Lepisosteus oculatus: one gene and its partners. The protein of the gene in region 2 binds, or shares a complex with, the protein of the main gene of each other region. Links are inferred from orthologs where the notes say so. Each region holds a gene or a part of one and is shown on either strand. Other genes may lie near its edges.

What was found.
Region 1: rnf113a (region 2) and rbmx2 share a complex: the UniProt entries of both Homo sapiens proteins name them as parts of the minor spliceosome. The link is inferred for Lepisosteus oculatus from reciprocal best matches to the Homo sapiens genes RNF113A and RBMX2.
Region 3: rnf113a (region 2) and eftud2 share a complex: the UniProt entries of both Homo sapiens proteins name them as parts of the minor spliceosome. The link is inferred for Lepisosteus oculatus from reciprocal best matches to the Homo sapiens genes RNF113A and EFTUD2.

What each region holds. Positions count from the first base shown.
Region 1 is NC_090703.1:47,213,527-47,217,278, forward strand, and holds the start of rbmx2 (RNA-binding motif protein, X-linked 2), read right to left. Parts: upstream 3,005-3,752; 5' UTR 2,533-3,004; coding exon 2,525-2,532; intron 1,215-2,524; coding exon 1,099-1,214; intron 473-1,098; coding exon 421-472; intron 251-420; coding exon 121-250; intron 1-120. UniProt on the Homo sapiens protein: Involved in pre-mRNA splicing as component of the activated spliceosome. As a component of the minor spliceosome, involved in the splicing of U12-type introns in pre-mRNAs.
Region 2 is NC_090723.1:1,932,266-1,936,017, reverse strand, and holds the start of rnf113a (E3 ubiquitin-protein ligase RNF113A), read left to right. Parts: upstream 1-1,148; 5' UTR 1,149-1,171; coding exon 1,172-1,274; intron 1,275-1,888; coding exon 1,889-1,968; intron 1,969-2,874; coding exon 2,875-2,973; intron 2,974-3,396; coding exon 3,397-3,504; intron 3,505-3,752. UniProt on the Homo sapiens protein: Required for pre-mRNA splicing as component of the spliceosome. As a component of the minor spliceosome, involved in the splicing of U12-type introns in pre-mRNAs. E3 ubiquitin-protein ligase that catalyzes the transfer of ubiquitin onto target proteins.
Region 3 is NC_090723.1:536,370-540,121, reverse strand, and holds the start of eftud2 (116 kDa U5 small nuclear ribonucleoprotein component), read right to left. Parts: upstream 2,744-3,752; 5' UTR 2,621-2,743; intron 1,576-2,620; 5' UTR 1,565-1,575; coding exon 1,463-1,564; intron 1,293-1,462; coding exon 1,130-1,292; intron 461-1,129; coding exon 382-460; intron 46-381; coding exon 1-45. UniProt on the Homo sapiens protein: Required for pre-mRNA splicing as component of the spliceosome, including pre-catalytic, catalytic and post-catalytic spliceosomal complexes. Component of the U5 snRNP and the U4/U6-U5 tri-snRNP complex, a building block of the spliceosome.

The DNA of each region.
Region 1 (3,752 bases), on a different chromosome or scaffold from region 2:
CGCTAGATCAGGGTTCAAAATTTGTCAGGCCTTCTGTATTTTATCCCCCAGGACACTGTCCAGAGGATGGCCGGGTCACCGGGCTGTGCAGAATTGGTCATTTGAACACCCTGCCTTTACCTTAATCCCATTGAAATTATCCACAGCTAGGATGGTGCTCCTCTGATCCTCATAGCAGATAAAGCAGAAGCCCTTCGACTTCCCAGTCTTATTATCCCGCACCAGATTGATATTGGCAATCTCCCCATACCTGCGAGAGAGAGAGAGAGAGAGAGAGAGAGAGAGAGAGAGAGAGAGAGAGAGAGAGAGAGAGACATGTCACTGGTGGAAAGGGATATGAACAGGGCATTAACACTGAGCACACGGGTTTGAAACCCGTGGTCTGAGGTGGTGAAAACACGTATAATATCAGACACTCACTGTGAGAAAACGCAGATGACGTCTCCTTCCGTTAGCTCATATGGAAAGCCACCTGCCAGAAACCACACACACAGGTCAAAACAGCCACCCACACATGGTTGACAGATAACAGCAAATCCAGTAGGAATCACTAACTTTGGAGGAATATGAAAACACAGATAAGTGAGTCACCCACTCTTGGACAAATAAACAGGGGCCTCCTGGGTTTTTTTCCAGAAGAAATCTTAATAACTTAACTGAATCAACTAATTGATCTGTTGGCCTACTTATACCTCACAACCAATTGTTTCCAGGTTCTTTTTGGATTTTTATCCATCACCTGTCACTCCTGCGGTGGAGTAGTACAGAGGGTAGCCTGTACATACAGGTTTTGGTACCCATTTGTGCAGCTTGGTTTGCTGGAACAATCTGGATAAACTGTCTTACTTAGGGGTACAGTAGCAGTGCCCCCATCTGGGATTCTTCCAGTCAGGAGTCCAGGGCCTCACTAAAGCTGTCCAGCAATAAGGATCCACAATAAAGGAGTGATACAACTTTAAAGCCATTGCCCTAAGCAGTGTGAGCATTTTATCTGCCCTTCCACCACTGCAAATGTAGTTCTTTCTCATCAGTCACCATATAATGCGAGTTTATAAACAGCGATCAATGCAGAGGAGAGAAAGGAAGGTCTGTCTTCACCTATAAATATCCAGGCGCTGTCCTTGTACTCCGAGTGCCAGGACACCGTCTCCTTCACTCCCAGCTCCGCCTCCCTCTGGTTCAGCTCATTGATCAGCTTCACCTTGGTTAGAGGACTGCGCAGAGACAGAGAAAAAGACTGACTCCCACTGCAATACACACACAGCAAGGCTGGGCAGCCCTTCACAATTCTGTCCTTATCTGCCAGCCTGCCATGAATGCATTCTTCTACAGAGGAGGGATTTCTAACCCTGCTTATGCAAAGCCCTACTTCAGGGGGACTGGGTCACCTGATATCACCATCAGTGTCCAATGACAGGCTTAGGACAGTTTAACTGGGATCCAATTAAGCAGATCCGAGTCAGTCAAAGATTTGATTTAGTTCAGGCCTACGTGTTCTGTGTTGTAGCAAGGAAAGGTTAACTAATTTCCATTTCCGTTACTGGGGAAAGTTCAATATGATTCGGATGAGACGTTAAACTGAGATCCTGATTCTCCATGGTCTTGTTTCTTGAAAAGAGTAAGGGTGTTACCCCAGTGTCCTGGCCAAGTTTCCCCCTGGCCTTTACCAATCATGGCCTCCTAATAATCCCCCTCTCTGAACTGGCATCAGCACTCCGCTCTCCTCCCCACTGAGAGCTGGTCTGTGGGGAGCGTACTGGTGCACTATGGCTATCGTCCCATCTTCCAGGTGGGGCTCAACACTGGTGGTGGAGGAGAGTCCCCCATTCATTACCTGTAGTGTTCTTTGAGTGGAGTGTCCAGAAAATTCTATATAAATGTAAGAAATTATAATAAATGATAATAAGCAGTGACTCATAGATTGTGTTATTAAGAGGGTGACGGTTCTGTAGAATTAGAGGTGATTTTCCATTTTTAAACTAGTGAAGTCCTACACAACTTGCTGTAAGCAATTCCACTTCTCACCACAAGGTGGCACCTAACTGCATTTACTGCGTTGCTTGTGTAAATTCAACAACGATTAAAGAGAAGCGAAAACACTCGGTTGAGTTTATACAAGATAAAAAAAGTAAAAACGCAAACAATGCAAAACAAATGCTAACTGAATTACCCCAATTTGGAACCTCAGAGTCGCTGCCAAAATCAAAACAAAACATAGAGCTAGATAGTAGCTAACCACAGGATGAAATATTTCTTAAAATCCAAAGTTTGTAAGCTGGAGAAAGCCGATAAGGACAGTATCACAGAATGAGGTCGGTGTTGCGGCTGTGAGTTTTGGTCACGTAATAAAAAGAAGCTTTTCTTTCAATACCGGTAGCTAAACTTGGTCGATAGCTTTGTCATTTTTAATTTACATAACATCACCCGTTCGCCACTATACAATTAAAAACAGCAAAAGGTTCATTTTAAATTGAAAGCAATAGTTTAGAAAAATAGGAAAAACTAATAGAAGGTCGATACTCACTTCATCATGAACGAATTCACTCCCACGATATCCAAATGACCCCTCTCTCTCCTGCTTCCGCTTCCGGGTTGTTACTGGATCATGTGACAAAAATATCTAGCTTGCGAGTGGAGAGTGTCCTTTGAGGGAACAGTCATTCTTATAATAAAAATGTATCTTAAATTGCATTTATTCATATAACAGGAACAAGGAAGATGGTCCATACCGAATATAAAAACATTTTTCACTCCAACGTCTGTTGAAATAGCAAAGTGGTATATTTTCGCGTGTCCTTTTGAAAACTCCCGAGATACTTAACGCTCTCTTAAAATACGATTGAGATCCACATGCTGTGTCTTCAGCTCATTCATATCCTCTGCATAATTCCTATTCGGAAAGTCTTGAAACAGTGTTTGGGTTTGAGTTACTTTCTACAATCAATGAGACACTGGTCATTATAGAAGAGCCGTTTGCAGAATCTGTATAATGCGTAGATACTAGAATTAATTAAAAAAAAATGAAAAATGCTAAAGCAAGGAAAACATTTGATTTATGTAAAAAATATTATTTGGTCACGTAAATAATTTTCTTCATTACCTGTGGCAAAACGTTGTTTTTTCTGTTTATGTGTTTTTTCTCTTTTATTTGTTTCTGCTCCTCTAGTTGTATTTGTAAATTCTTTATACATTTAATTTTAAAAGTGCGTAGATACGTATCTGTAAAATAAAAGCTGAAAACCTAGAGCGCAGCAACTGATGCACAAAATCAAAGACACCATTTGTCCAAATTTAGCCAATTTAACTAAAAACGTAGCAGTATGATACAAAAGAAAAGTATTCCCCGGGTTTAATTTTTTCTACTGTTCTCATCGTGTTTCCCGTCACTTTGGGTGATGAAATAAACAGTTTCACCTAAACGTGAGTTTATAAATGTTTATAAATAATTAAATCACTAGTTAAATCCACGCACGTGTCCTGTTGAGGGATGGTATGTGTTTCGTTAATGGGCAGGATCTGTCATGTCTGATCATTTCTCACGTCACATTAGCAGTAACATAAATAAAGTAATAACTAGGCATATCTGTCCGGTTTCAAAAACTTTGGCTACACTGAAACTGAATTTGTGTAATTGTTTCATTTCCGGTTTTACCTGGACAATAACCTAGTGCGCACATGGGAAAAATATAGATTGAACTTCCTTTTGGAGACTTGCTCGGTAAGAGTCGTGACGCACTGACTCTACGGCTGAT
Region 2 (3,752 bases):
GATCTCTGGGTGCTCCGGTTTTCTCCCACTGTCCAAAGACACACTTGTGTGTTAATTGGCTTCTGGGAAAATTGTCCCTGGTGTGTGTGTGTGTTTGAGTCTGTGTGCTCTAAGATGGACTGTTGTGCCGTCAAGGGTGTACCCCCTGCCTTGGACCCATTACTTAATGAGATGGACTCTGGCTTCCCTGCAAGCTTGTATTGGTAAACGGTTAGCAGACAGATGGACGGATAAACATTTCATGTTTTTTAAAACATTTCTGCTATCTCTTCGCATGTCCTTTAAGTGCAATTGCAAAACACAAAATGTCTAAATCCAAAGTGTAAATTTTACATTTAAGGAACTTTTATCCTGAATAAATACCAGACAATTTTGGGCTATAAAATCCGTTCACCCTTCTTGAAGTGCATTTAAATATGACCACAGGACGCTCTTCTTTAAGACAAAGATAACCGGCCTTGACTGTTGGAGCTGAATCCCTGACTTCTTTCAAGAGCTGTCTGGATGAGATCCTCTGATCAATTAGCTACATGCTACCAAAGGGGTCAGATGGGCAGGATGAGAGGTTTGTAACTTTTTCATGACAAAAGGTTGTGGCAACAGCACAGGGGATTACAGGATGTGATTTACCATCATACGGGGAGATTCACACCATCCGCTGTCGCAATCAAGCCCAATCCATCATTCAGGATCCCAACCATCCCGACCACAGGCTGTCCTCCCCCCTGCGCTCTGTCAAGCGGTACTGTACAGCTAAAGCTCAGCCCACTAGACCTAAGAACAACTTCTACCCTCCTGCAGTACACATCCTCAACACCTAACTGCAATGTCTCAAACTCAATGCACGCCTGCACTATGCACGGTTTTTTCTTTCGTTAGTACATATTTATAGTTCTGGTTGTATTATTTACTATCTTGTAATATACTGTCTTACATTGTATGGTGTTGTCTGTTGTATCGTGTATGTCCCGAGAGATCAGCGCGAATAATAAGTCCAGTGCACACGTACACGTGTAATGAGTTCCTCTACTCTCTGTTCTCCACGGATCAGAACGCTTGCTCTTGCCCGGGGCAGCTTTGGGAGGGCTTTGATGGGCTGTCACTAGATGTCGCTGTTATATTTACTGAACCTGCGCACAGTCGAGGGGGGATAGAGGCCTGAGAAATAAAAATGGCTGAAAGTGAGGAGTCTAAAGCTACCTGTACGTTTTTCTTTAAAAAAACGAACAAAAAAGTCTCTGTTCGGAAGCGAAAAGCCAGCGACAGCGAGAAAGGTAACTGCGTTGTTCTGTTTCTGTGGGTTAATCGTCACACGTCCTTCTCGTTCACCTGTGAGCATGGTGTTTGTCCACTCTTTGTGAAGAAACACATCGACGTAGTAGCAAACATACTCGTGTTTGTAGCTGCTGCAGCCCAGTGTCAGTCTGAGAAGATTGGAGCCAGTTACAACAGTCTGTAAAAGCTTTGCACGTTTTAAGGCTCAGTTGCATATACATTTTTTTTAGAATGGGAATGATTTCCTCATTACGTTCAAACTCCACTGTATCGGCTTAGCGAAGAAGATTGAAATGACAAGAAAATGTTTAGAGAACGTGACAAACTTTTCAGTTTTTCATAATACATAAGGAGATAAACTATCAGAAAGTTAACAATCTGTTGGACGATTATTGGTTACATGATACTAGTGTAGACTCAGGCAGTTTAACATCATACAGGACATGGTATCCATAACCTTAATCTATCACATTATGTGAGTCTACCCTGCTGCTAGTCTGTCAGGCTGCCCTGCGATAATGGTGCCTGGTCATGTGTTACGTCTGTGTTATCTCTGTTAAAGCTGCCTGTTTAAATGCAGTCATGCCTCTGTATTTGCCCCGTCCTGCCCCAGGTAGCAGCAGTGATGAAGGAGGACATGCAGTGATACGACGGGAGAAGAAGGCCACTATTGCCAATCCCATGATCCAGGGGGTAAGATTCCAGGTTTGGAATGGGAATGTTAGGAAATGCAGTAGAACTATTTCCTGTGCCTTTGATACCACTGACACACTGCCTATGAGCATTGCTGATAAAATGAAAAAAGGAACTCTGTAGGTTTCATGCTATTCATTTTTATTTTAATTAAAGGAAAAAGAAAGCGGTTTTATAGACTAATTCCCCTCCGTATGGTGTTTCCATTTCAGGTATTAGAGGTTTGCACATGCTGGTTAATCATACTTTATATTTTAAAATATTTGATGCCATATGGATCATTTATCAAAGACAAAGATTTATTAAATCTCAGAGTGAGATTTAGGCTGATTTCAATTTGCATGCTCTTTTGGTACACACACCAGGAAAAAATCTGGCTTAAATCATGTCTGTCCATTTAGCATATTGTTACATGTTTTTTTTTAATCATATAAAAAGTGGCAAATGTTAAAGTATTATTTAATGGAACAGTATAAAAAAACATGCATAGTTGCATTTTTTAAATTTCCTCATTGTGAATAAAAAAAAACTTATATCCTATCCTCCATAGACAGCTGTGTGAATTTAATATTGTTCTTTTTATCAGTACAGGCAGTAGAGCCTGCAATGGTAAAACCTGAAAAGTATCAAACTGTTGTGCAGCAGTGGCCTTAGCAGTGGTCCTGTTCTGTAGCTTGGTTGAATTACCCCAGTTTTAACTAAGGCTGATACAGTAAATCACGTGAAAGTCCACTCATTTACAAGAAGTGGTATAGCTCTGAAATATTACTGGTATACAGAGTGGGAAGCTCATCCTTTACCTTTGATCTGCCGGCTGTGACACGAACACACAGACTCCTGCACGGAGAGCTCTGGCGTGTTCTCAGATCTGTTCTGAGTGCTGTCCTTTTCCTCTTGCTCTTTCAGACCAAGAAGGCGGAGAAAGAGAAAGTAGCCTCCAGTGACAGCGAAGGTGAAAAGGAGGATCAGAAGATGACGATAGCTTACAAATCCACCAAATCTGCTGTGAGTCATCTGCGAGATATACAAAAACCTGAATACCCCTCTGTTAAAGACTATGTGTAGTAAATTTCCTGACTATACTAAAATGTCCACCAAAGACCAGATAACCCTTGTTTTGATATCTTTCATTCCATTGATCATCAACAGGTAAACCTTTGGTGCTTTGGGGTGAGATTATGTTACTGAAACCATGGGATTCGCTTGAATATTTAGAACCAGGCTGGAAATGTCATTATCCATCAATGACTGGGATTCTTAAAGAGGAGGTACTAGAACAGCGACACTATGGATCTGCTGGGTACCTGCAGGCTGTCAGTGACATCAGTGCTCCACAGATTAGCACCGACTCTTCCTTAAGGCTGAGGTTCAACCAGTGTCTTTAGGGACTCATTTGATCTCTTCCTGTTTTTGTCCCCAATGTTGCAGAAACCAGAAGGGCCAGAGGACATGGGTGCTACAGCGATCTACGAGCTAGACACGGAAAAAGACAAGGATGCTCAGTCCATCTTTGAGCGCAGCCAGAAAATCCAGGAGGTAATCATCCCAGTGGTCATTGGAGAAGAGAAAATTTCTATTCTTGGTTCACAAAATCAGAAAATTGGCTCTCCTGGTACAGCCTATCTTTTAGAGCTATTTAGTCCTTACCTGTTATTCTGTTCACTTCAGTTTCAACTGGCTATCAAATGCAAACAAATGTACATATTAATATAATATTTATGCTACTAAAAATGAGCAATTTTCTAAAGCAAATAATTGTTTAGCAACAAAAACAAATTTCTCCA
Region 3 (3,752 bases), about 1.4 Mb from region 2:
ACATTTCGGATCAGCTCTGGACTGTCCATCAGATCGGCTAGAAACCTGCAGAAAGGAAGATGAGGCTACTTAAAGGAACTGAAATGTTTAGCCTTCAACGGAGCTACAAGGGGAATTCAGACAGAGTGACTTAAAACTCTCACAAGCAATGACAATGTCAACCCAGAGGACTACTTTAGAAGTGAAACGAGGATTCAGGAACAAGTGAAAAATATGACACTTCGTTACACGAAGTGTGGTGGGAGTCTGGAATCAGCTGCCAGACTGTTGGAGCAGAGGCTAGACTTCCTCAGGGCGATAAGCATTCATGTTCAATCGACTGCCATTACACAAGACCAGAGCCTGTTGACCTGAATGAAACTGGTGTAATCTGAGACTCACTCCATGTCATATACAGTGGAGGGCAGTTCCTGCTCCATCAGCGTGAACTTCTTTGTCCTGACAGGTTTAATGATGGGCTCTAGGGGGAAGGAGAGAAGAGGAAATTCACAGTTCAAGTAACTTGTTCATCAATGCTTTCCTACACACACAAAGTACATCATCTTTATTACTCCATTTCCAGAAATGTTCAAAAAAGAAACTGCATAATTAAATGACAGACATTCTCATTTATGAGTGCTTAACAATAATAAAAAATGTTCAGAGGCAGAAAATCAAAACAGGAGACTAAATTACTAGACATAAAAGTGCTTTACATTAGCCAAATTAATCTAAGGTTATAACATACATCTCTGAATCTCAGACAGGTCGTTCAAGTCACAAAATTACGTTAACCTGGACCCCTCTGTGCACAAATTCACAGGTGTTCTTTCTCCCATTTCTGTAAGAGCTACATTCCAACTCACAGCAAAACCAGATGTAATTCACCTCACACTGCTCTTTCAAGCTGTAGTGCAGAAAAAGGAAATAAAAAACAATGTTGCCGTCTTAAAGCAGGGACTGAAATTATTTTGGTATGTCTGAAAACCTTACAACCTACAAGCGAAATCAGAAATGGTCGAATTTTGGATTCTTTAATAATATGAAGCGATTTCAACAGACGGCAATGGAAACCTGTCAGAAGGGAACGCTTGCTGAGCGAGAGAGGCCCCTGCGAACACAGAGCCGCAGCACCCCAGCCGGACCTGACCTGTGAGCGGCTGTGTGTCCTCCTCCTGGACGATGGTCTCCACCTCGGGCCCGTACACCTCCTCCGCCGTCGGGTAGTACTTCTTGTCCTCGTGCAGCACCACCTCCATCCCGGGGGTCTCCTCGTCGGGGTCGGCCGGCTCCTCGTCGTCGTCCTCGTCGGCCTGAGCGGGCAGACGGACAAGCTGAGCGCAGCGGAGAACCCACGCCGCCGGACACCAGGAAAAAACACAGGGGCGTCCCACGCACTGTGGCTCTGCTCAACCGCCCACACCCCTCCATCTCCTCCGGGCACAGAGCAGAGCAGGAGCAGCAGCAGCAACTAGCCTGTTACCTCCTCCGCATCTCGCTCGTCCCTGTCCAAGTCATCGTCATCATCGGAGTCCAGCTCTGGGCCGATGTAGTTCCCAAACTCGTCATACAGGTCGGTCTCCATGCTGGAACAATCTGTGGGAGGAAAAAATCAATCAAAAGCCCTAAGTGGGCTCAGAAACACACTGCCCTGGTTCTACTTCATAGCCAAATTCACGTGTGGAAAAGTCAACAAAAAACCAAGTCCATTTCTCTGCATTATATCTGCACTTGGAATATAGTTGTTTGCTTAATTCACAATATCATCGCATCAAATCTGATTTATAGCAATAATTACTATTCTTAATCCCAGAACTCTGAACTATTTTCAACGAAACCCCAACCTGCATGGGGTGTTTGAAATCACCCATAAAATTCACAAATGGAACCACTCTCTAAACCGCGGCAATTAAAGCGATGATTTTTTACTCGTTTATTTTTTCGCCAGTTTCCTACGGATTTGGGGTGTCTCAGAACACCAGGGCCGTCTGCAGTTGCTGTAAAGGTCTGGCCCGTGTATTATGATTCTGCTTTCTCTGGAATTTCAGTCACGTCTAACCAAACTGCGTCCCACAACGGTATGAAAGGTACGACAGAATGGGTCATTCCTGCTTTTCAGCTCCAGGTTTACTGAACTGCTGCAAATAAAGCTACAAGTATAAACAACCTTCATCCTAAACACGGACATTCCACCTTCTTTATTTTCTATTACCAGAGCATTTCTTGTCTGACTTCACACCAGAACTCAAGCTTGACTGTAGGGATAGTCAACTATTATCCTTTTATTTTTGCACTTTAACATATAGACCAAGAAAAAAAGTTAAATGTGCAAAAGAATTGAGCCCCCAGTTGAATGTCTGTAAAGCTGATCCTAAACAGGTTTGGTACTGGACGTGGCTAATTTGGGAACCAATTTTAAAAATCTGATGCTACTCGGGAACTATTTCAGTAACTCCATTTGCCTGGACGACGTGTGCATCATTAACAAACTTTAGATGAAAATGCGTTTATTATATGTTCATTCAAATGTCTGAAAACTATCAATCGATAATGATTTGCCGCTTTCCCTCAACATTTGTGTTAAACGCGAGACGTTGACTTGGTCTTACTACAGAATTATTTAAAATAACTGTAAACTCACCTTCGTATACACGTTGTTTAAGACAGTACTGCCTTTATTTTCGCCAATGTTTCTTCAATCCGGTGCGAGTTGCTCTCAATGCGTTTCACTTGCGCCCTCACCCGCTGCGACAAGCAGAGAGGAAGGACCCTGCGCGGAGTAAATTACGTAAGAAGATAATGGCGGCCACTGTACTGCCTGTTCAAAAATACTTTTATACAAGTTTACTGTTATTTAATTTGTCGATTTTTTCATATCCATGAAATTAAAAACATAAAATAATTCTATGTGGAACTTTATATGTCAGAATTCATCCAGTAATAAATACTGTAATTAGATAAAATAGGTGAACCTGTCAAGCAAAATATTAACGGGCAGAAAAAGATTGTAGTATTGCAAAAGAGTGTTAACTTATTAACATCTTATTATTGTAACACTACAGGGTTCACGTAGGCACCCTCACCGCTTCTGCCTCAGGTCGGTCCCCCACCATCAGGGACTCAAACCCGGGCCTCCGGCATCACTCAACAGGGACCCAGCCTGGTGAGCTAAAGAGAGATCTCCCCTCAGCCCAGCAGCTGCGGTCCCTGCTATCCACTGGGAAGGGCGGTGACGTCACCACTCTGGTAAGCCAACTCTCGCAAGCAATGGAGGCCGTATGCGTTACATTATATGAACTATATATGTTGGAGTTTATTAGCTTGTTAACAAAAAAAATACTTTGTTTGGTTGCAGGTTGTTCATGTTCTTTTGGATTTTGTCTACTCAGCCCCTTTAAGGATTAAATAGCGGCTCCCTGATTACTACTGAGAACACGATTAAATGGTCTAAGTGGCAGTTACATCATCACAAAGAAAAAGAGAAAATGCTTAACACCGTTTTCATGTTACTAATGAAAACTTCTAGGGCTTGACTTGGAACAGTGTGAGTAAAATTACAAAGAACAGAAGAGTTATTTTACAGAATTAAGAATTCGAAGAGGCGACGGTGCAGTGGTGAGCAATTCTCCCACTCTGCACTGCAGCCCTGGGTTTAAATTCCTGGGGAGCGATCTGCGTGGTGTTTGTATATTCACCCTTGGTCTGCGTGGGTGAAGAGGCCCGTCTGTGCTCTCCTGCAGTGCATTCATGTCCTCTGGATCACTGACTGGTGG